3 linked regions of the Pelodiscus sinensis genome follow. The protein of the gene in region 1 purifies or fractionates together with the protein of each later gene. This does not show direct contact. Links are inferred from orthologs where the notes say so. Each region holds a gene or a part of one and is shown in the gene's direction. Other genes may lie near its edges.

Evidence for each region.
Region 2: the proteins of ANKRD46 (region 1) and ATRN purify together in Homo sapiens (co-immunoprecipitation; 3 studies listed by BioGRID and IntAct, with this or other methods). This does not show direct contact. The link is inferred for Pelodiscus sinensis from reciprocal best matches to the Homo sapiens genes ANKRD46 and ATRN.
Region 3: the proteins of ANKRD46 (region 1) and MGRN1 purify together in Homo sapiens (co-immunoprecipitation; 3 studies listed by BioGRID and IntAct, counting the BioPlex papers as one, with this or other methods). This does not show direct contact. The link is inferred for Pelodiscus sinensis from reciprocal best matches to the Homo sapiens genes ANKRD46 and MGRN1.

The regions. Positions count from the first base shown.
Region 1 is NC_134712.1:35,518,566-35,526,389, forward strand, and holds the start of ANKRD46 (ankyrin repeat domain-containing protein 46), read left to right. Parts: upstream 1-4,789; 5' UTR 4,790-5,052; coding exon 5,053-5,086; intron 5,087-5,104; exon of another isoform or gene 5,105-5,242; coding exon of another isoform or gene 5,243-5,261; intron 5,262-5,357; exon of another isoform or gene 5,358-5,596; intron 5,597-7,824.
Region 2 is NC_134715.1:129,961,128-129,968,827, forward strand, and holds the start of ATRN (attractin), read left to right. Parts: upstream 1-4,619; 5' UTR 4,620-4,788; coding exon 4,789-5,003; intron 5,004-7,700. UniProt on the Homo sapiens protein: Involved in the initial immune cell clustering during inflammatory response and may regulate chemotactic activity of chemokines. May play a role in melanocortin signaling pathways that regulate energy homeostasis and hair color.
Region 3 is NC_134726.1:3,946,597-3,953,520, forward strand, and holds the start of MGRN1 (E3 ubiquitin-protein ligase MGRN1), read left to right. Parts: upstream 1-3,833; 5' UTR 3,834-3,956; coding exon 3,957-4,044; intron 4,045-6,924. UniProt on the Homo sapiens protein: E3 ubiquitin-protein ligase. Mediates monoubiquitination at multiple sites of TSG101 in the presence of UBE2D1, but not of UBE2G1, nor UBE2H. Plays a role in the regulation of endosome-to-lysosome trafficking.

The DNA.
Region 1 (7,824 bases):
TGTGTTAGGACTGGATATGCTTTAACCAGTATACTTTGTAGAGGAAAGCATTTCAAAAGAGTCACAACTTGCTCTTACTACTCACCCAAAGCATTTGGAGACCAGCCTAACCTGTAGGTGCATACTTTTATTGAGCGAAAGCTGACTATAAAAAGAATGCAAAAGACTCCACTAGGTCTGTGACAGAAATGGTGTGAACAAATTGTTACTCCATTGTATGGTCAGAGTTTTGTGAAGAGAATAAAAATGTAATGTGAAAAAAATAATACAAAACAAAATGAAGATCAGACTAAATACATGTATTAGATGATGAGCTTTCGTGGGCCAGACTCACTTCCTCAGATCAAATTGTGGAAGAAAATTGGCATGCCCATATATGCCAAAAGGATACAGTCAAAAAAATGAACACATAAAAAGGACAAATCAAATTTCAGAACAGAGCGGGGATGAGGGGGGGAGGTTAATCAAACAGTAAGGTCACTGTCAATTATTCTTATGCATGAAACGTATCAGTGATAGACTGTGTGTGCCTTAGAGCCTGGGTTCCCAAACTGGGGAGTGTGCCCCCTAGGGGGGGCATGAAGAAATTCCAGGGGGGGCATGAGGTGACCCAGCCCCCTCCGTCAATCTCACCCCAAGTTTTGCTGCTTTTTTGGGGGGGGGAGCATGAGGGTTTCTCAAAAATCAAAAAGGAGGCGTGATGCAGAAAAGTTTGGGAACCACTGCCTTAGAGTGTGAGAACCTTGTGCTGCCTCTTTGTTCTGTACATAGTGAAGACTTGCAGTTTTGGGGCAGTCTGTGTAGCACCTTTGCCAGCACCATTTTTTTTTTCAAGTGGCCTGAGTAACTTTTTAAATGACTGAAAATTACATTCTTAAAATCGTTATTTTAAAAATAAAAGTATACAAAGTCTTGTTAAAAATATGAGTGGAAAGTGAGAATTACCAGAACACAACAAATTTCTCACTATCTTATGGTATATTAAGGCCCCAAAACAAAGAATTATAAGGCACTATTAAAGCAGGCATAATGCTGGGATCACTTAATGATTGCCTGTTCTGTTTATTCCCTCTGAAACACCTGGAACTGGCTACTGTTGGAAGACAGGGGGCTAGATAGAACTTTGATCTGATCCACTATGGACATTTTTATAAAACTAGTTTGTAGCTTTGGCAGCAGCCCTAAACAGTCCCAATGTCACTCTTTAGCATATTGGTGAAACATGTTTCACCTTGTGTTAATTAGTGATGTCAACGAGTAATAAACTAGGGGTACGTCTAGACTACATGCCTCTGGCGACAGAGTCATGTAGATTAGACTACCCGGCATAGGAAAATGAAGTGGCGATTTAAATAATCACCACTTCATTTAAATTTAAATGGCTGCCGCGCTGAGCCGATCAGCTGTTTGTCGGCTCAGCGCGGTAGTCTGGACATTCCGTGGTCGACATCAAAGGCATTTGTCGACCTCCCAGGTATGCCTCCTGGGATTATTTAAATCGCCGCTTAATTTTCCTATGCCAGGTAGTCTAATCTATATGCCTCTGTTGCCAGAGGCATGTAGTCTAGACGTACCCCAAATTATTAACTGATAAGCCTAGGTTTATCCATTAATCTGTCAGCTACTTGTATTTCCCTGCTGCCTCTGTATCTGGTTAGGCAAACTCCCTGGTTTGAAACCACTCTGGGCCTGAGTGAGCCAGACTAGGGAGGTCGAACCTGTATTTTAAGGCAGGACTCCTTTTGGTACCTGGACCTCTGGGCTATGTCTACACTCGTGGCTTCTTGCACCAGAAATATGCAAATGAGGCTAAGTGTGGAATATGGTGAGCCTCATTTGCATGCTTAATGAGCTTCCATTTTTGCAGAAGAGGCTCTTGCACAGGAGTGGTCTACACTGCCCCTTGCACAAGAAAACCCCTCTTGTGCAATGCTTTTACACCAATTATTTTTAGGAATAACAGCATTGCGCAAGAGGGTTTTTCTTGTGCAAGAAGGGGCAGTGTAGACAGCTCCTTCTGGCACAAGAGCCTCTTCTGTAAAAATGGCAGTTCAGCTATGCAAATGAGGCTCAGCGATCTTTCACGCTTAGCTTCATTTACATATTTCTGGCGCAAGAAGCTCTGTAGTTGTACATGGACAAGGCAGACAGGAAGTGTGATTGCAGCAGCCCAGAGAACACTACCTGAGCTAGCTGTGAATTGGAGTAAGGCGAATGAAGAGGCATGTTAGCCCCCTCCCCAACCCTGATCCCAGCCCTGAGTGGTGCCTACTCCCCACCTATGGTTGCCAGCTTTCCAAATGCAGAAAACTGAATACCATTGCCCTGCCTTTACCTGCCCCTTCTTGCAGCCCTGTTTCTACCCCACCCTTTCTTTGAGGCCTCCCCCAACAATCACTCTTTCCCCCCCCCTCCATCATTCAGTGTCCCCTACCCTTGTTCACATGATAATTTTCACTAGGCTGGGCAGGGGTTAGGCCTGCCAGTGGGCATAGGAAGGAGGGCAAAGGGGGAAGTTGCCTCAGGCCTCTGAATCGCTAGGCCTCAGGGCTCCCAGCCACCACCACTGCTACTTCAGCAGTGGTGGCATCTGGAGCCCTGGATCCTTTAAATTGCATTAGAGTGCTGCACCGTGTGCTCCACGTAGCTTTGAGGGCTGGGAGGGGTGCAGTGCTCTCTGGGTGGCATGCAGGGGTGGCTGCCCTGGCTCCTTCCTAACTGCCCGAATTTCCACCCCTTCTGGGAGTGCAGAGCCCTTCCCTACACACACTTTGCCCAGGGGCCCACAGAAGCTGCCTGTGCCCCTAGTGGGGGGAAGAGGAAGCGGGATGTGCATGGGTTCCAGGCTGGGGGCAGAAATGAAGGTTTGGAGAGTGAGAGGAGGCTGCAGACTAGGGCAGGGGTATAGGGAGATCCGGGAAATATGGGCTCTGGGCTGGAGGTGTGGGCCAGAAATGAGGGGTTCAGAATATGGCAGGTACTCTGGACTGGGGCAAAGAGAGAGAATATGGGAGGGGATCAAGTCTCTGGGCTGTGGGTGTGGGTTCTGGGGTGTGGTCAGAAAGGAGGGGTTCAGGCTGTGGATGGGCTCCAGGCTGGGACAGGCTGTTGTGTTGTGGAGGGGGTTGTGGGCTCTTCCTAAAGATGCAGTCTCTGGGATAGATAGGGATAAGGATAGAGATGAGCTATGCAGGGTGTGGGCTGGGACTGAGGGGTGTGGGTTCTGAGTAGGGATGTTAAATTGCAGGCAACAAACTCATCGAATAGTCAATGCATTTTGCTTACTAGTCAATAGGGCATCTCTGCCCTTGAAGTGTAGCAACAGCCCTAGGGCTCCGTGAAGTGCTGACCCTGGGCTCCGTGAAGTTCCTTGGTTACTGAGGACAGGACAAGGAGTAATGGGCTTAAAGTGCAGCAGGGGAGGTTTAGATTGGACATTAGGAAAAAATTCCTAACTGTCAGGATGGTCAAATATTGGAATAAATTGCCAAGGGAGGTGGTGGAATCTCCCTCTCTGGAGATATTTAAGAACAGGTTAGATAGACATCTGTCAGGGATGGTGTAGACGGAGCTTGGTCCTGCCTTGAGGGCGGGGGGCTGGACTCGATGACCTCTCGAGGTCCCTTCCAGTCCTATTATTCTATGATTCTATGAAGTGCTGCCACTTTGAAACGCTGCAGGAGCCCAGTGTCAGGCTCACATGGCGTTTCAAAGTGGCAACGCAGTGTGGAGCCCAGGATCAGCTGAGAACTCCCCCGCTGGCCCCAGGCTCCATGCAGCGCTGCAGCTTTGAGATGCTGTGGAGAGAGCCTGGTATCAGGCTTCTCCCAGTGTTTCAAGATGGCAGCAGTGAGTAGAGCCGGGGGGTGAGCTGGGGACTCAGCTGCCTCTTCGAAAAGCTGGGAAGAGCCTGACCCAAAGCTCCATGCGGAACTGCCACTTTCAAGTACTGTACCCTGTTCTTTCATCCCCCCTTGATGCCTCTTTCTGATAGAGGCAGCAAAGGGGAGGGGCAGCAAAGTGGAGGGAGTAATAAGCATTTGCTTATCAGATGGTTGACTAGTCATTCATATCACTAGTTTGGCAGAGAGGTTAGGTGTGGAGGGACTCTGGGCTGAGGTAAGGGCTTGAGGTGCAGGAGAGGGTGCAGGCTCTGGGATACGGGTTTGGAGGGGCTCCGGGGTGGGGCAGGGGCTTGGGGCAAGTGAGTGGGGTCGAGGAGGGGATTGGGGGTGCAGGGTCCAGGCAGTGCTTGCCTCAGGTGGCTCCTGGCAGCAGAGTACTTGTGGCGTGTCTGCCTGTGAGGCAGAGGGACGTGCCAGTGGCTTGTGGGAGCTGCCTGCCCTAGCCCGGCCGCAGCGCGGAGCAGACTTTTACCGCCCAGTCAGTGATGCTGACCAGAGGCACCGGGATCCCTTTTCCACGGGTTATTCTGGCCCAGAGCCTGGCACCTACCAACCCCACCCCTGCTGCCCGGCTTTGCTGCGCTGGGGTTGGTGGGCCGGGGCAGGAACGCTGAGAGCCACTGACCCAACCCGTGAGCCCGTCTCTCGCGGAAACCCCGTCGGGGCAGGGGGGCAGCACCCGCCCCTGTGCACGGGGCCCAGCAGCCTCCCCCCAGGGCCAGCGCCGGGCCGAGGCCCCTCGCACTGCGGCCCAGGGAGCTGAGCAGGCGGCCTCCCGCCAGCAGGTGGCGCGGCCTCAAGCCCGGCCCCGCTGCGAGCGCCCCAAGGAACAGGCCGCGCGGCGCTGAGGCAGGTACCGGGACGGCGGCGGGAGCCAGGCAAGGCCTGCGGGAGGGGACCCGGCGCGGGGCCTGCTCCTTTCTGAGCGCCCGGCCGCTTGGGGACGCGGGGCTGCCGGGGCGGGGGCGGCCTAGGAGCCCGCACTTATCTGGGGGCAGCCGGTCGCCACCCACCGTCCGGGCGGAGACCCCGGCGCCGCTCGCTGCTGCGGAGCTGCCACCCCCTGCCCAGCCCGGGGCGCCGCACGGGCCCGCCGAGCGGTGTTCTGAGCCGGCCATTCCCGTCCAGGCCGGGGCAGTTACGGGCGATGCCGGCCAGAAACGTGCCTGCCCCTTTCGCAGGTAATCGCCTTGGGGCTCAAGCCTGACCAAGTGATGGCTTGTGTGTGTCCCCGGACCCACCCTGGGCCAAGACCTGTACTCGGCGTAGGCCTCGCTACAGGTACAGGGGAAGAGCCCAAGGCGTTATGCAGATGCACGTGTTGAAAAACAGCTGTGATGCTGCCTAGGCGGCTAGGTAGGTTCCCACTGTGATGTGGTAGCAGAGTTGATGCCTACACTGGGGCATAACTGACTGAATTTTAGTACCTTCGCGTCAGGAACATCCCTGACAAATTTGAGCCTAGCCACAAAACTGTCAGGATGTGAGAAGACTAAAATACAAACTGTGCATAGCTTGGGTGATGTAACTGTCTACAAATATTTGAAGTGTCACTATGAAAGCGGCAGGAGTAGAGAGACCTTTAAAATGAAGGGGGGAAAAGCTAGAAGTAATACAGGTTGAACCTCTTTTGTCCAGCAACCTCAGGACCTGACCAGTGCTGAACCAGAGAATTTGCTGACCCACAGGAGGTCAGTATTGTCTAGCAGCATTACCAACCCTTCTACTGCTTACTGGGCTCTTAGAATACATTTAGAGGTAAATAACAGCACAGAACACTAAGAGCCAGGACTCGTGACTGTAAACAAACTTTTGGGGACTGTGGGAAACTTGGCCACAGCCAGATGTTCACTTATCATGGGTAACTAAAATCATGCTGGACCACAGATGTTGCCAGACCAGAGTATAAAGGACTAGAGAGGTTCAATCTGTAGAAGGAAAATGAGTGAAGAAAAAAATTCTCTGACGGTTAACCTTTGACTTACAAAGCAAAATGAGCAAATCTATAAATATGCACAGCTCAATTTAAATACCCAAATGAGTGTGAAAGATGTAAACATGTACAAGAAAATTAAGTGTGTAAATTGTAAGGAGACAGATGAATTTTCTTTTTGTTCCACCAAAAATATAACTAATGACATTAGGGTAGAATTAAGAAAATGTGGTTCATCAGGAACAACTTACTAACAACAGTGAGGTGATCTGTTAGACTGAAATAGTTTTTGAAGAGAAATGGTAGATCTCATTTTAAAAGATACTTCCCTGAGCACCAGCTCTTGCCTGCCAACCTGTGCGTACGCACGCACTCTCTCTCTCTCTCTCTCCCTCCCTTCCTCTCCTTGCTGCCGCTGGCAGGTAGCAAAGCAGAAGCAGACAGATCCGTGGGGGGTCACGTATGGAGAGCTGGCTGAAAAGCTGGCTCCTCATGCGTATCAGCTCTTGCTTCTCCCCCCTGCCTCTGTGGGAGGCAGCAATAGGGAGAAAACAGCTCCCATGTGTACCAGCTCCCACCTGCCTTCTCACCCTCCATGCTGCTGCCTCTCTATCAGAGGCGTCAGTGGTGGGACAGGTAGCGCCATGGGATCTGGTACTCATGGGGAATTCCCACCTGCTCCCCATGCTACTGCCTCTGTGGGAGAGGGTAGGCAGCTCCATGGGAACCAGAGTGCATAAGGAGCCAGCTCCCTATGGGCACCAACACCTGTATTCCCCCTCTTCCCGACACAGAGGCAGCAAGGGTGTGTATGTGCATGTAGTCATTAGAATTAACTGATAAGCCCTTTGAAGTAGGAATAAGAGATCCTCCGGAATAGGGCTTTATTCCGGAGGATCGGGCCAGTCTAGACGCTTTTTTCCGGCTTTTCCCCAAGCCGGAAAAAAGCGGCGGACATCTTTATTTAAATCCCGCGGGGGATATTTAAATCCCCCGCGGATTTCCCTATTCTGAAGTTGAAAATTAGCATGCCCCTTTCGGAAAAGGGACCAGTGTAGACGTAGCCGGTCTGTTGATATCCGCATTCACGGATGCAGATATGAAGTGGCTGTCCATAGATTTGCAGGGCTCTAGATATAAAAATGGAATCCACATCTATCCGTTATCCATCAACATGGTACACAGATATCTGTATCTGCAGGTATCTGCTGATACAAAGCGGATATCTGCAAATTTGCAGGGCTCTAAGAGTGTGGATTTTGCACATCCTCCAGTGATGTAGTTATACTGACACGAGTCTGTGATGTAGACCAAACCTAAGACAATTTTAGTTCCATGTTCAGATTTGTTTCGTTTTTAAATACAAACCAATAAGTTTTATTATCAGGCCGTATGTTCTGTATTTTTAATATGCTATGAAAGTAATGCAGTGTTTGCAACACTAATATGGAATCATGCTAATGTGTAAGCATCAAAAGGTGAAATTGACTGGATGCAAGTTTTGTGACTTCAAGAGAATGGCGTGTCGGGGGGAGAAAACTAACAATACTAATGTTAGATTTTTAATATTTGTACTAGTCTAAATTGTATTAGCTCTACAAGCTAGTTATTGTAAATGTTATTAATCTGATAATCTCATACATAAGTACGGAATGGTCCTGCAGTGGCAGAGGAATGACCAGATGACTGAATGAGACTTTCACTTCTAAATTTGGTGAGCTAAATTCTGCTGTATTCAGCAATCCTTTCACATTGACAGAGCAACATAAAGGGCAGCCCCACCCACCAATGAATACTCCTGCTGTAAGGCTTTTTCCTTCAATGGTATAGAACTGCCAGAATAGAACTAAGCTGCTTCCAATGCAATGTGACTTTGTGATCACAGTAGCTGTAAGTGCTGTGATTCTTTATTTTGTGTACATTTTCTAACCACTCTTTCTCATGTTGGTATGAATTGCCTCTCAAGGCATTTTTAGGAGATCTGGT
Region 2 (7,700 bases), on another chromosome or scaffold:
GTTGGACATTAGGAAAAACCTACTACCTGTCAGAGTGGGTAAGCACTAAATTGCCTAGGGAGGTAGTGGAATTTCAATCACTGGAAGTATTGAAGAGCAGGTTGGACAGACATCTATCAGGGGTAGTCTAGATGGTGCTTGGTCCTGCCTTGAGGGCAGGGGACTGGACTTGATGACCTCTCAAAGTCCATTCCAGTTCTAGTATTCTATGATTCTATGATTCTTCCCATAGTAAACAACAACCTTATTCCTACTAGTCTCAGAGGTTTAGCCATGTTAGCCTGTAACTTCATAAATGAGTAGTCCTGTGACAACTTAGAGACTAACAAATATATATACACACACACACACACACACACACACACACACATACAGGGCTTGACAAGCAGCGGAGAGCCCTGCTCGCCATCCGCACGGTTCGGCACACTGCGCATGTGCTGATCGCGCTGCGGTGCCGTGCTGAGCTAAAATCTACTCACCACGGGTGAGTAGATTGCCCTAATTGTTGAGCCCTGTGTGTGTGTGTGTGTGTGTGTGTGTGTGTGTATATATATATACAGGGCTCGACAAATAATGTAATCTACTTGCCCGTGGTGAGTAGATTTTAGCTCAGCACGGCACCGCAGCGCGATCAGCACATGATTACAGATTACAACCCGGAAGAGCTGGCACAGAGCAATGTGCGCATGCGCAGAGCGCAGAACCGTGCGGCTGGTGAGCAGGGCTCGCTGACACTTGGTGAGCCCTATATATATATATGTATGTATGTATGATATCATGAGCTTTCATGGGCAAAACCCACTTCTTCAGATGAGATGATCTTGAGTGGAGAAAAAAAAAATTTCATTCTAAGAAGTGGGTTTTGCCCACAAAAGCTCATGATACCATATATATATATTCGTTAGTCTCTAAGGGTATGTCTACACTGCCACCCTGGTTCAAACTAGGGTGGCTAATGTCATTCGAACATGCAAATAAAGCTTCATTTGCAAGTTCAAATGACTATATTAGCCACTCTAGTTTGAACTAGGGTGGCAGTGTAGACATACCCTACGATGCCACAGGACTACTCATCATTCTTATTAGTCTGTTCAGAAAAGTATTTGTTGCCTCACTCCAATACCTCAGGTCATTCAAGGGTATGATGATAATGCTGAGAAGTATTGCTCACTTTGCTTTCTCACAATTTTGCTCTTCTGGACCAGTCTCTACACCAGTGTTTGGCAAGTGGTGGTCTGCATGCGGTCCACTGCTCCTCCACCTGCAGCTTCCCCATCTCCTCCCCTCCACCATGTGCCTCTCGCGCACATGAAAAGTAACTTGAAAAGTAATAGGTGTAACGGCATTGCGCAAGAGGGTTTTTCTTTCGCAAGAAGAGGCAGTGTAGATGCTCCTCCTTGCTCAAGAGCCTCTTCTGAAAAAAAATGGTGGCTTATTAGGTATGCAAATGAGGCTTGGCGATAGTCCATGCTTAGCCTCATTTGCATATTACTCGCGCAAGAAGCAGCGAGTGTAGACATGATGTCACAGAACTCTGCATTATTTTTGCAGATGCAGACTAACACGCCTACCTCTCTGTGACTATTGATCATTGTGATATTGTAAACTTTTTGTCTATACTGTAGTAAATCAGGTATGAAATGTGAGTGTTTCTGTTTAAACAAACATTCTTCTATGTCCTTTAGTCCTTAGTGGGAGCGCTGTGACTATCAATGCAAATACTGACATTTTTCTGTTTTCTTGTCTTTCTTTTTCCTTCTGTTAACTCTTCATTCACCTGTTGTTGTTTCTCTGAATCCTAGATTGTGAGCTCTGTGGCGCTTGGCATGTCTGTCATTTTGTACAGTGCTTATTATGATTGAGGTCTTTAGACAATACATTGTGAAACTGAAGAAGTGTCAGAGGACAGCCACTGGACTGGTTAAAGGAATAGAAAGCATGCCTTAAGTGATAGGTATGACAATCTATTTAGCTCAGGGGTGTCCAAACATTTTTCAAAGAGGGCCAGATTTGATGAAGTGAACATGCGTGAGGGCCGACCATTTTGCCTGACATTCTTTGAACCATTAAAATTAAATGCAAATTAACTATTTTATGCAAAGTTTATTGCAAACGGCATACTTTTCATTTCGTCACATGGATGACAAATCTAAACAGGTGTTAAATCACTCTGCCTTTCATATCTGAAGGCCAGATGAAAAAAAAATCCAGGAAGCTGAAATATATATGAAAGGTTGTCTGTCAACTTTTAAGTTAAAAAAATATGAACAGGAACATAACACCAAGTATATATGTTGTGTCCAAATATATTTATAACTGATTTAGACCAACTGACATTAACTGAGATTTTACAATGTATTCATCTCAATACATATGGATTCATTGGGGGCCATAAAAGATAGATATTGCCAAATTACCTGTGGGGCCGTATTAAACTGGAACACGGGCCGCAATTGGCCCGCGGGCCGGACTTTGGACATGCCTGATTTAGCTTAAGTAACAGAAGGTTAAGGGTTGATTAAAGTGTATATATGTTTGCACAGAAAAAATATTTTAAAATGGGTATTTCCATCTAGGAAAGATGTGTAACATGATCCAGTGGCTAGAAGGTAAAGCAGACAAACTAGAATGGGATCCAAAGTTTTACCAGTGAAAGTAACTAACCACTGAAGCAATTTACTAAAGGTCATAATGGATTTTCCATCGATGGTAATTTTTAAATGAAATTAGTTAGTTTTTCCTAGCAGATCTACACTAGGAATTATTTTGGGGAAGTTCTATGGTCTGTGTTATACAGGTCATGATAAGACTGTATGATCACAGTGGTCAGCTTAGGCCTTGGCCTCTATGAATATTGCAACAGAATTTAATAATATTTTTCTGCTGTTGCAGGCTTCATCTCGTCTCATCACTGAGTCAGGACTTTCTTTTGTGGACACCCATTTCTCCCAGCTTGCACTAGACTGTTTTTGAAAAGCAGACGCGTCAGCAGTGGGAACCAGTGCCAGCGGGGACTGAAGTAGTCCCATCTCACGCCTAGTCTCCCGATGTGCCTCTGCCTTCCTTGCCCCCGCCCCCATGGATACGGTACTTGGAGGATCCGGCTTTAAAAGCTGGCTCCCCGCAGCACTGGCTCCTGCTCTCTTGCTGCCTCTGATAGAGGTAGCAAGGGGCGGGAGAAGCAACTAGTTGAGTAGTGACACCAATACCCAATAAGCCTACACTACTCACTTACATCTCTAGTGTGTACTAGGGATGTTAGATATAGTGTAATTAAATAGTCATGTAAGTGCATGGGATCTTATCAGTTACACGACTATTCGACTGTCTCCGGGGGTGGGGCCAAAAGCCAGTGCACTCTGGCCTCACTTCCCAGGCGCCCCCTTGCTGCTGTATTAGAGGCAACATCCTGGGGTGGCAGGTGGGAGCTGGTCCATGAGAGGAGCCAGTTTAAAAACCAGCTATGGTTGCCAGGTGTCTGGGTTTTGCCCAGACTGTTCGGTATTTGGCTCCCCTGGCTAGTAAAACCCTCCAGAAATTACCTGAAATGTCTGGTATTTCTTGAAACCAAAAACAGGACTGTGTAGCACTTTAAAGACTAACAAGATGGTTTAATAGGTGATGAGCTTTCGTGGGCCAGACCCACTTCCTCAGATCAAATAGTGGAAGAAAATTGTCACAACCATATATACCAAAGGATACAATTAAAAAAAAGCGAACACATATGAAAAGGACAAATCAAATTTCAGAACAGAAGGGGGATGGAAGGGGGGGAAAAGGGGGGAACGTAAATGTCTGTGACCTAATGATATTAGAGGTGATAATTGGGGAAGCTATCTTTGTAATGGGTAAGATAATTAGTGTCTTTGTTTAAACTTAGGCGTAAAGTGTCGAATTTAAGCATGAATGACAGTTCAGAGGATTCTCTTTGAAGTGACGTCTTAAAAGGTCTTTGAAGCAGGATGCAGGTAATCAAGTCGTTGAGACAATGTCCTTTCTGGCTGAAATGGCAAGAAACTCTTTTTTCTTTGGGATCCTGTCTGATATCTGTTTCGTGGGCATTGATCCTTTGGCGACGTGTCTGAGACGTTTGTCCAACGTACCTAGCGGACGGACACTTTCGGCACACGATGGCATAAATTCGATGGTATTTCTTGTTTCCCTCAGGATGGAAGCCTGGGGGGGGGGACAGTTTTCCCCTGCTGCATGTGGTGGGGGGGGAGGGGGCGTGAGGTCATTTAAAGGCACAGTGACCTTTTTTTTTTTTTTCTCAACAACTTTGGTCCCCGCCTTTTTTTCTTCTTCCCTCAATCATGTTTGGGAATTTTGGTGAAAGCATCTGGCAAGCCTATGGGGGGGGGGGAGGGGGGGCGAGCTCCCCTGGGACAGAGGCTGCTCCAGTCCCCATGCTGCTGCCTCTGTGGGACAGGAGGCAGCAGGCGGGTCGGTGGAGCCCGAGCCACGGCCACGCCCCCCCCCCCCCGGGTGCTGAACACCGGAGGGAGGGGGGAGGGGAAGGAAAACGGCGCCCCCCGTATCTCGTGCGCGGGGGGGCGGGACGCGACCGGTCCCCGCGAGGCCGTCGCGCGGGCGGTGACGTCATCTCCCCGCGGCCCCGGCCCTGCCGCTGGGGGAGCGCGAGCGGCGGCGGCGGCGGCGACGTCCCCTTCCTCCTCGGCCACCGTCGCGGGCCGCGCGCAGCTTTCCCTCGCCGGCCACCGTCCGGCCCGGGGAGGAGGAGGCGCCGCGCGAGCAGGAGCCCGACGCCAGAGCCGAGTCCGGCGGCCGATGGAGCGGAGCCGGAGCCGCGGCCGGGGCGGGCCGGCGCTGCTGCTGCTGCTGGCGCTGCTGCTGCTGGCGGCGGGGCCCGGCGCGGCGGGCGAGGCGAAGGAGTGCGACAAGCCGTGCGCCAATGGCGGGCGCTGCCAGCCGGGCAGCGGGCAGTGCGAGTGCCAGGCCGGCTGGGTGGGCGACCAGTGCCAGCACTGCGGGGGCCGCTTCAGGTGAGGGGGCGCCCGCGAGGCCGCCTCACGCCGGGGGGGGAGGGGCCCGGCCCCCGTGGGGCGCGTGAGGAGAGGGGCGGGGCGGCTCCTGTGCCCCTCTGGCGGGGAGGCGAAGTGGGGTGCAAAGCCCCTGGGTGCGCACGCGTATTCGGGATGGCGTGCCGGGGGGGGGGGGCAGGTGGCGAGGGGCAGCCCCCCCGAGAGAGCTCGCCATGCCGTCCGCCGGCTTGGTCAGACTTTAAAGGGCTCCCAGACTTTTTTTTTTCGGGGGGTGGGGGGGTCTTAAGTTGTTTTTCCAGAACCTTGCTCACAGTCCTAGCGCATCCGTGCGGGTGTCACTGCAGAACAAGCATCCCCTGGATCCATCGCTCGCTAGTTCCTTCAGATGATCTGCCTGGATATTAAGTGTATATCCATTCTTGGCAATGCTGTTGTGCCACTGAAGCTGTTGGCAACCTGCTGGATTTCTGGCCCTGTAGTGACATTCCTTGATCTACACATTTTATAATTCATTGGGTCTTCAGTTCTAGTATGTCTATCCCAAGAGAGCCACTGAAACTCAACTTAGAGCGGCAGTTGATGGTTTTTGATGACCAATACCTTCGTTACTGATCTTATCCTTTCAAAACGTGAATTGAATGCAACTAAGGTATTTGTGCAAGCAGATGAACAATTGGTTGTATGATTCTGAAGCTTTTGGCAACCGCTGGATTTCTGGCCATGTAGTGGCGTTCCTTGATGCACATGTTTTATAATTCATGGGTCTTCAGTTCTGATATGTCTATCCCAAGAGAGCCACTAAAACTTTGTCTATCTCAAGAGTAGTGGTATTCCTTGACGCATACATTTTATAATTCATTCGTCTTCAGTTCTAATATGTCTATCCCAAGCGAGTCAATATTCAGGAATGTGGGTCCAGCTTCACCCATATAGGGGCTTATGGTTTCAGAGATGCCCTTTCCAAAGGATGGATGATGGACTGGGTCCTGTGCTTTGGGGACCCCAGTGCTTCAGGGGCAAGTGGGGTCATGGGTGGCTTGAGGAACTAGCAGGGGGCTGGAATTAGCAGCAGCAAGATACCTGGCCCCATCCCATCCCATCCCATCCCATCCCTCTCCTACCCATCCCTCAAGAGCCTGCCCTACCCTGCTTTTTTCCTACCTCTTCTCTACACCCACCCTACCTCTTTATGTCACCATTCCACCCCTTCTCTCAAGCCCCCACCTTTTTCTGGTTTCTGCCCTTCCTGGAATGACAAGAGGAGCTGGCGGGGCGGAGCAGAGCACGCTGGGGCAGAGTCACTTGTTGTAGCCAGTACCAGGTCCCCCCACTAAACCTGAGGTCATCCTGGACTCCACATACCTTTGAAGCACAGGGCCCCCCCAGATGACAGAGTCCAGGGGGTTGCCTCAATGTGTCCAATGGATGATATGGCTGTGCTTGAACCTGTTCTGGGTACTATGAAAAATTATATAAATCTGGTGCCCATGCCTTTAGGTGAGGCTAATTTTTTGTCTGTTTGGAAGTCAATTATTTGAGGCAGCTATGTTGGACTGAACGCAACTGGATATGTATGTGAAGGAATTCCAGGTACCGTAGATGAATTGTGTTGAGTGTTCTATAGACGGCCCACCTGGCTGGGTCTTCATTATGCTTGATGTGCTGGTTGTCAAGTATTTTTGGGGAACATAATTCTGCCCCATGCCAGCTCTTGAAATCAGTAGTTTGGTACTTAAAGTTGTATTGGGTCAGCATGAACTTGATATTGTTTGCACCCTCTGGCTGATGGTTCAGTTTCATCCTGAAATCATTTGATGTTAGGCCAGTTTTTTGTGTAACTAGTTTTAGGGTATCACTCGGTTGTTTCATTTTAACGAGACCATTGGATGCAGAGTCTCCTGTGTATTTGAATTTAATGATTAACACAGATGAGTAATTTTGTTCTTATCTTGATGCTCACAATTAATGTGTATCTAGCCATGAATCCATTATGCTTGTGTAGCCTAGGATGACACCCTTGTAAAAATTGTGCTTCATGAACCTACTAAACTTCTTATAGACATTAATGTTTTTCATACAAATGTTCTTAATGTGTGGACTTCCAAAATACTGGTTTCTTGGATCTGGACTTCAACACTACGGCGATCTGAAGAAGTGGGTTGTGCCCACGAAAGTTCATGATACCATCTACATGTTTTGTTAGTCTTTAAAGTGCTACTAGATTATTTGTTTTTTAAGTTTTTTCAGAACATTGATCACAATCACAGCAAATCCATAAGAATGTAACTGCAGATCAAGCATCCCCTGGATCGATCTCTCGCTAGTTCCTTCAGATGATCTGCCTTGATATTAAGTGTATATCCATTATTGGCAATGCTGTTGTGCCACTGAAGCTTTTGTCAACTGCTGGATTTCTGGCCATGTAGTGACATTCCTTGATATACACATTTTATAATTCATTGGTCTTTAGTTCTAATATGTCTATCCCAAGAGAGCCACTGAAACTGAACTTACAGAGGCAGTTGCTGGTTTTGATCACCAATACCTTCATTACTGATCTTATCCTTTCAAAATGTGAATTGAATGCAAGTAAGGTATTTGTGCAAGCAGATGAACAATTGGTTGTATGATTCTAGTCATGTGCTAACATACAAAAGTCAAATGCTTTGAGTATGCAATTGTATGCTGTTGCAAAAA
Region 3 (6,924 bases), on another chromosome or scaffold:
GGGATGGAGTGTGGGCAGGACAGAGGCACATTATGGCAGTCTCCGCAACCTGGAAACCCCTGTGGAACAAACACTGAACTGGGGGAAGTGCTGGTCCCAGCCAGGTCCCAGGCTAATGACTAAAGGGATTTCTAGCCTGGTAATTTGGTCTCTTTTCTGTATAGTCCTATGAGAAGCAATCCCATTCCAGGCATATCCTATTTCCTGGCACAACCAAACCCATATGTTGCTTTAAGTTATGATAAGAGGAAACTGCAAACCGAATTTGGTGGTCCTAGCTCTTACCGTTTAGGAGGAATCCTTTAACAAATAGACAGACAGACAAGCTCTCTCAAGTCTATAGTACATTATTCGTAATTCTCCATCTCCACCTAGCAATGGAGCAACACTATTGTGAGGACCCTTTTTGTTCCTATTTACACTTACAAAAAACGTCTGTCCTTAACTCTGCTGGCCCCAGTTTTGTCCCTGTGTCCCTTTGCCTCCCTCATCTGTCCCTCTTAGAAAAGAGACAACTCAGGAGGCTATGAAATCATGACTGGCGTGGAGAGAATGAACGGGGAAGAGTTATTCACCCCTTTGGATAACACAAGAAACGGTGGTCACCCAATGGAATGAGTAAGCAGCAGGTTTAAAACAGACACCCAGGAGTACATACCATTCTGCTCAGTTCCTAACGCAGCGTCTTTGCAGAGTCTGCTGTGCAAGTGAGCAGCGGCTGGCACATTCTACCCTAGAGGTGGCTGCATTTGAGCAAAAGGGTTCTTGTGTCTGGTTTGTGAAACATATTGGATCCTGCTGGGTGAAAGACCCTGGAGAAATGTACCATTCACTGTAATATTGAGGAATCCACAGCGACACCCCCTGAGCCAGGCCCTGAAGCTGAGAAACAGCTCTCTCTGCATCAGGGCCAACCCCTGCCTTTAATTCGCTGGGCCACTGCAGGCTCTGCAGCCCTGACCCAGGATCCCTTCCTGGGATGTGCCATGGAAGCAGGTGGCACAGCAGTGGTGTCCTAGATAGGGATGTAAAATCCCGTTTAATTGGCTAACCAATTAAACGGGGGAGGGGGGGTACTCCTGTTTGTTTGCCACAAAACAAACGAACAGGTTAATCATTCCCTGGGCCAAGCAAAGCAACATGGACACAGAGCCCTGGGAGCTGTCACCTTATGTGCCAAACAAACCCAGCTTTCCAGGGGCTTTCCAGCGGCCAAAACGAAGCGGAGGGGGCGGGGGCCTTGGACGCTCTGCAGCGCGAGTCTTCAAGGAGCCAGACAGGCTGGCTGGCCGGCCACTGCCTGTATGAACAAAGCTGGGGAGAGCCATTCTACAACTCACCGTAATGGATATTTGTTGGCAATTGCCTGCCCATCCTCGGCCAGGGGCATCCGCGCTTGTTCTCATTCAGCCTTTGCACCAGACATTTGGGCTTCCTGGCTATAAAAGGAGGAACTTTTACTACATTTCTATTAGGTGAATTATGGTAGAATGTAAACACCAACCCCCAGTCATGGTCCAGGACCCAATTGTGCTCGGTGCTGTACATTATTAGGTGTATTATGGTAGTTCTTACAAGCCCCAGACACAGACCAGGGCTCCACATAGAGCAGAGATTGTCCCTGCCCCACAAAGCTCACAATCTAGGTATAAGGCAAGAGACAACAGGAGGGGAAGACAAAGGGGGAAGCACCAGGATACAGTGGGGCAATGCCAATCAGCAAGAAGGGCAGGGTCTCAGCACATCAATGGCCTCGCCATTTGCACTGGACACTGGAATTGTCGGACTGTATCAGACCAAGGTCCATTTGGCCCCATTGCCTATCTCTGACAGTGACCAGCACTGGATGCTTCCAAGGAAGGTGCATGAAACCCACTAGATCAGGAAGCAGATGTAGGATCATCTGTCCCAGGAAATCCCTTCCCAGTTCCCACTAGAGATTGGCTTAGTTCTCTCTCCTTGTTTTTTTCAAAATGGCAATAGTATTTACAATGACAATTCTGGATAGTTTCGTTATTCATATAAATGTCCAGTCCCTCTTTGACACTTGGCGTCCTCGACTTCCAGTGGCAATAAGTTCCACAGTCTAATGATATGCTTTTCTTGTGAATTTGCCAGCTTTTCATCTGATCAGCTGTGCCCCTGTTCCTATGTTATGAGGCAGGGAGACCAGAGATTCCTGCTGCTAAATCTCCAGAGCTGTTGGTATTTGATATAGTTTGTCCCTTCTCTTCCTCTGTCTCCATTCTAAGAGAACAATCCCAAACTTCAGCCTTTCTTCACAGGCCAGTCCTTCCATGCCTTAAGTCTGGACCAATGTTTCCTCAATTTTTTTCTATCTGTGTGTGGAATTAATGTTGTTATGTGCACTGAGGCATGTGCAGATGTGCACCAACAGTAGAAACATCCTGCCGGCTGTGGGTGCTCTGCTAATCAGCTGGACGGCCTCCTGGGTGGCCGCCTGAGCACACAGCTTACAGGGAACTCTGGTCTGGACCCCTTTCTATGGAGGGTCATCTCTTGTGCTGGGATAAATCACTGTAGCTCATTGACTTCAATGGAGCTCTATGGACTGAACCCAGCTGGGCCGCCTGGCAGGCTGATGAGAATTCTGAACTGGGGAATCTCTGGTTTCTTTGAAGGTTAGCTGCAGCTTGGATAACACATCCCAATTTAATGTATTGAAACACATCTGTTTGGGAGGTGAGAGAGACTCATGACTTTCTCATACATCCTGCTGATGCTGCCTTCACACAGAGCCAGATCCTGTTAGATGCTGAGCTTGCTCCTCTTCCCATGACTACAGGAGCGGAGGGCACTCAGCCCTTTGCAGGATCAGGCCCGCAGAAGGGTGTTGTGAGTCAAAGTTCTCCCCAGGCAGAGGCTGCTTGGACAGGTTTCCTCCATGTAACAAACCGCAGATCAAAGTCCACCATCAGGACCCACCCTGGGCGGATGTGCAGCCCTGAGAACCTTGTATGAGGCAGTAAAAGTCACATGACCTGCCTGTTCCTGAGGTGGTATTTTTTTTTGTAGTTAGCATGAACCTGGAGCATTGTATTCAAGTCACAGCCGGGCTCTCTGGAGATTAGGTGCCCCAGCAGGATCCAAGGCAGGGCCTACCAGGATCCGAGCTACCCACAGCACCCCAATCAACTGCCTGGACCATGGTGGAGCATCACCTGCTGTTCACAGAGTGAAACCAATCGCCTCCGCAGGCCACACCACAGAGAAGCAGCAACAGCCATGGCCTGTCCGCAGCAGAGCTGGGATCGCCCTTCAGCCTCCTCCTTCCATTGCCACCTGCACATCTGCCAGGGCTTCACCTGCTCTAGTGACAACTGTCCTGAAGGCCTCCCAGCCCGAGCCATCGCCCAGCCAGGACATGCCCTGATCTGCCTGTTACCCATTCCTCCCAGAGGCATGCCTGGATGTGCACTGAGGGCCTGGGCCCCGGATGCAGGCAAAGCGCAGTGCAGGGACCCATCCCTCACCCTAGCTGCTAGGCCTGTCTCTGCTGCCCCAGCCTGCGCGGGGGGAGGGACTCCTGCCACGCTGCCCCACCATGCGGGGCGGGGGTGACCTGGCCATGCTAAGGGAATCCCTCATCACTGGGGGGGGGGATGCTCTGGCCACACTCAGAGAGCCCTCATTGGCTCGGCAGGAGGCTGGTCGGCGCCCTCTGCTGGCGGCTGCGCGCGTTACAGCCCCACCCCCCCACAGCGCACTCCCGGAAGAGTCCACTGAGTGAGGGGGTACAGGCCCGCGCACGCGGTTGGTACGGCCCGGCCGAGCCGTCGGTGTGTAGGACCCGGCGCGTGGCTCTTGGGAGTTGTAGGCGGCCGGACTCGCTTTCCCAAGCTGCCCCGCGGCGGGTTGTGTTTGCGAGTCGCTGGGTCCGGGTCGCTCGCTGCTCGCCGCCGCCGCTGCCGGGTCCCGGGCTGGGCGGTCCCGCCATGGGCTCCCTGCTGAGCCGGCGCATCGCGGGCGTGGAGGACATCGACATCCAGGCCAACTCGGCCTACCGCTACCCGCCCAAGTCCGGTAAGGGCGGCCCGGCCCCATAGCGCCCCCCGCCCCATAGCGCCCCCCCAGCACCCCCTGTGTCCGGCCCTCCAACGCCCCCGGCCCCATAGCGCCCCCCCAGTGTCCGGCCCTCCAACGCCCCCGGCCCCATAGCGCCCCCCCAGTGTCCGGCCCCCCAACGCCCCCGGCCCCATAGCGCCCTCCCAGCGTCCGGCCCCATAGCGCCCCCCCAGCACCCCCTGTGTCCGGCCCTCCAACGCCCCCGCCCCCATAGCGCCCCCCCAGCGTCCGGCCCCATAGCGCCCCCCCAGCACCCCCTGTGTCCGGCCCTCCAACGCCCCCGCCCATAGCGCCCCCCCAGCACCCCCTGTGTCCGGCCCTCCAACGCCCCCGCCCCCATAGCGCCCCCCCAGCGTCCGGCCCCATAGCGCCCCCCCAGCACCCCCTGTGTCCGGCCCTCCAACGCCCCCCGCCCATAGCGCCCCCCCAGCGTCCGGCCCCATAGCGCCCCCCCAGCACCCCCTGTGTCCGGCCCTCCAACGCCCCCGCCCATAGCGCCCCCCCAGCGTCCGGCCCCATAGCGCCCCCCCAGCACCCCCTGTGTCCGGCCCTCCAACGCCCCCCGCCCATAGCGCCCCCCCAGCACTCCCTGTGTCCGGCCCTCCAACGCCCCCCGCCCATAGCGCCCCCCCAGCGTCCGGCCCCATAGCGCCCCCCCCCAGCACCCCCTGTGTCCGGCCCTCCAACGCCCCCGCCCCCATAGCGCCCCCCCAGCGTCCGGCCCCATAGCGCCCCCCCAGCACCCCCTGTGTCCGGCCCTCCAACGCCCCCGCCCCCATAGCGCCCCCCCAGCGTCCGGCCCCATAGCGCCCCCCCAGCGCCCCCTGTGTCCGGCCCTCCAACGCCCCCGCCCCCATAGCGCCCCCCCAGCGTCCGGCCCCATAGCGCCCCCCCAGCAACCCCTGTGTCCGGCCCTCCAACGCCACCGGCCCCATAGCGCCCCCATAGCGCCCCCCCAGCACCCCCTGTATCCGGCCCTCCAATGCCCCCGGCCCCATAGCGCCCCCCCAGCATCCGGCCCCATAGCGCCCCCCCAGCACCCCCTGTATCCGGCCCTCCAACGCCCCCGGCCCCATAGCGCCCCCCCAGCACCCGGCCCCATAGCGCCCCCCCAGCACCCCCTGTATCCGGCCCTCCAACGCCCCCGGCCCCATAGCGCCCCCCGCCCATAGCGCCCCCCCAGCGTCCCGCCCCATAGTTCCCCCCCAGCACTCCCTGTATCCGGCCCTCCAACGCCCCCGGCCCCATAGCGCCCCCGCAGCACCCCCTGTATCCGGCCCTCCAACGCCCCCGGCCCCATAGCGCCCCCCCAGCACCCCCTGTGTCTGGCCCTCCAACGCCCCCACCCCCATAGTGCCCCCCAGCATCCCCTGTATCCGGCCCTCCAACGCCCCTGACCCCATAGCGCCCCCCGCCCCCATGGCGCCCCCCCAGCACACCCCTGTATCCGGCCCCCCAACGCCCCCGGTCCCATAGCGCCTCCCAACTCCCTTCGCGTCCAGCCCCATAGTGCCCCCCCAGCTCCCCCCGTGTCCTCCTGTCCCTGCCCCCCACAGCGCTGTGGCCCCTTTGCCCTCCCCACAGCCCCCTGGCCTCCATACTGCCCCCATGCCTTGGCCCCCCCACTGTGCCCCTGGCTGGGAGCAGACCGGGCCCTTGGTGCCCATCCAACTCCCTCTGGGCCTCAACCCATGCCCCGTCCCCCCCCACCTGCACTCAGCTGGGGGAGTAAATGGCCTCCAAGACCCACTCATCCCCCTCAGGATCTCTGCAGCACCCTCCTGGGCCTCCATCCTCAGCCGACCCATAGCAGCCACCACAGCCCCCCAGCCTGAACAAAGGTCAGAGTGCGATGCAGCTGTGTAGGTATGAGCAGAGCAACCCCAAGGGGCACTAACTGGTTAACACCCTCCCCCCCCAACACATGCACCTTGTTATTGAAAGTGGAGTTGTTACATCAGACAGAGCTTGCTGGGCCTCAGGTACAGATTTAACTGCAGCTATCTGGAGATTAGTTTGGCATGCAGCTGGCCGGTCCCTCTTTTGGGGACCCTGAACCAGCACAAGGGTTCAGAGTTTGGGTTGCACACGGGCCGGGGGAATTGTCATGCAGACTAAGACTTAGCCCTCCTCCCCCACCCACCAATCATGGGACGACTCTTCTCCATCATGGAGCTTAGCGAGACCTTTGCTTATGGAACCCACATGATGAGTCAGTGGTAATGCCTGACTGGACTCCTCTGGGTTGTGCTCTAGGGCAGGGGGGGAAGCTCCCCTGGAAAAGAGTGGGTGTGGCTGACAAGTGGAGACTTCAGAGCGTCTTTCCTCCCTCCTGGGCTGCCCGGGCCTAGCCCTGCTCTGCTAAAACTCAGAGCATCTGACTTTTTCACAGGGTAAGGGCTGCTCTCTGCTTCCTTGTCTCTGCATTTAACTTCCTTCTTGTACAGTGTCTGTAGTCTACGGTGTATGGTCATTTGGCTCTGCTGATTGGGGAGTTGCTCAGACTGAGGTCCGGAGACCCCAGAACGTGACTTCCAAGCTCCAGCCGGACGTTTGCATAAATCTGAACTTGGGATATAATAGGATAATTGTTTACACAATTAACTGATAAGTCTGGGCTTATCGGTTACCGTGAACGGTTACACGCAGGCTACTGCCCTGCGACCAGGGAGCTGGCTGCCCCCCCACGCTGCTGCCTCTGATACACATGCCATTGTTAAAGAGAGTTGAGAGGGACATCAAGACCTGAAGCCCCAGCCTTCAAGACTAGGTTAATCTAAAAGTTGCTCTTAAATATTGGTTTGCAAGGGAAAATAGGAACCAGGCTGATAGGATCAG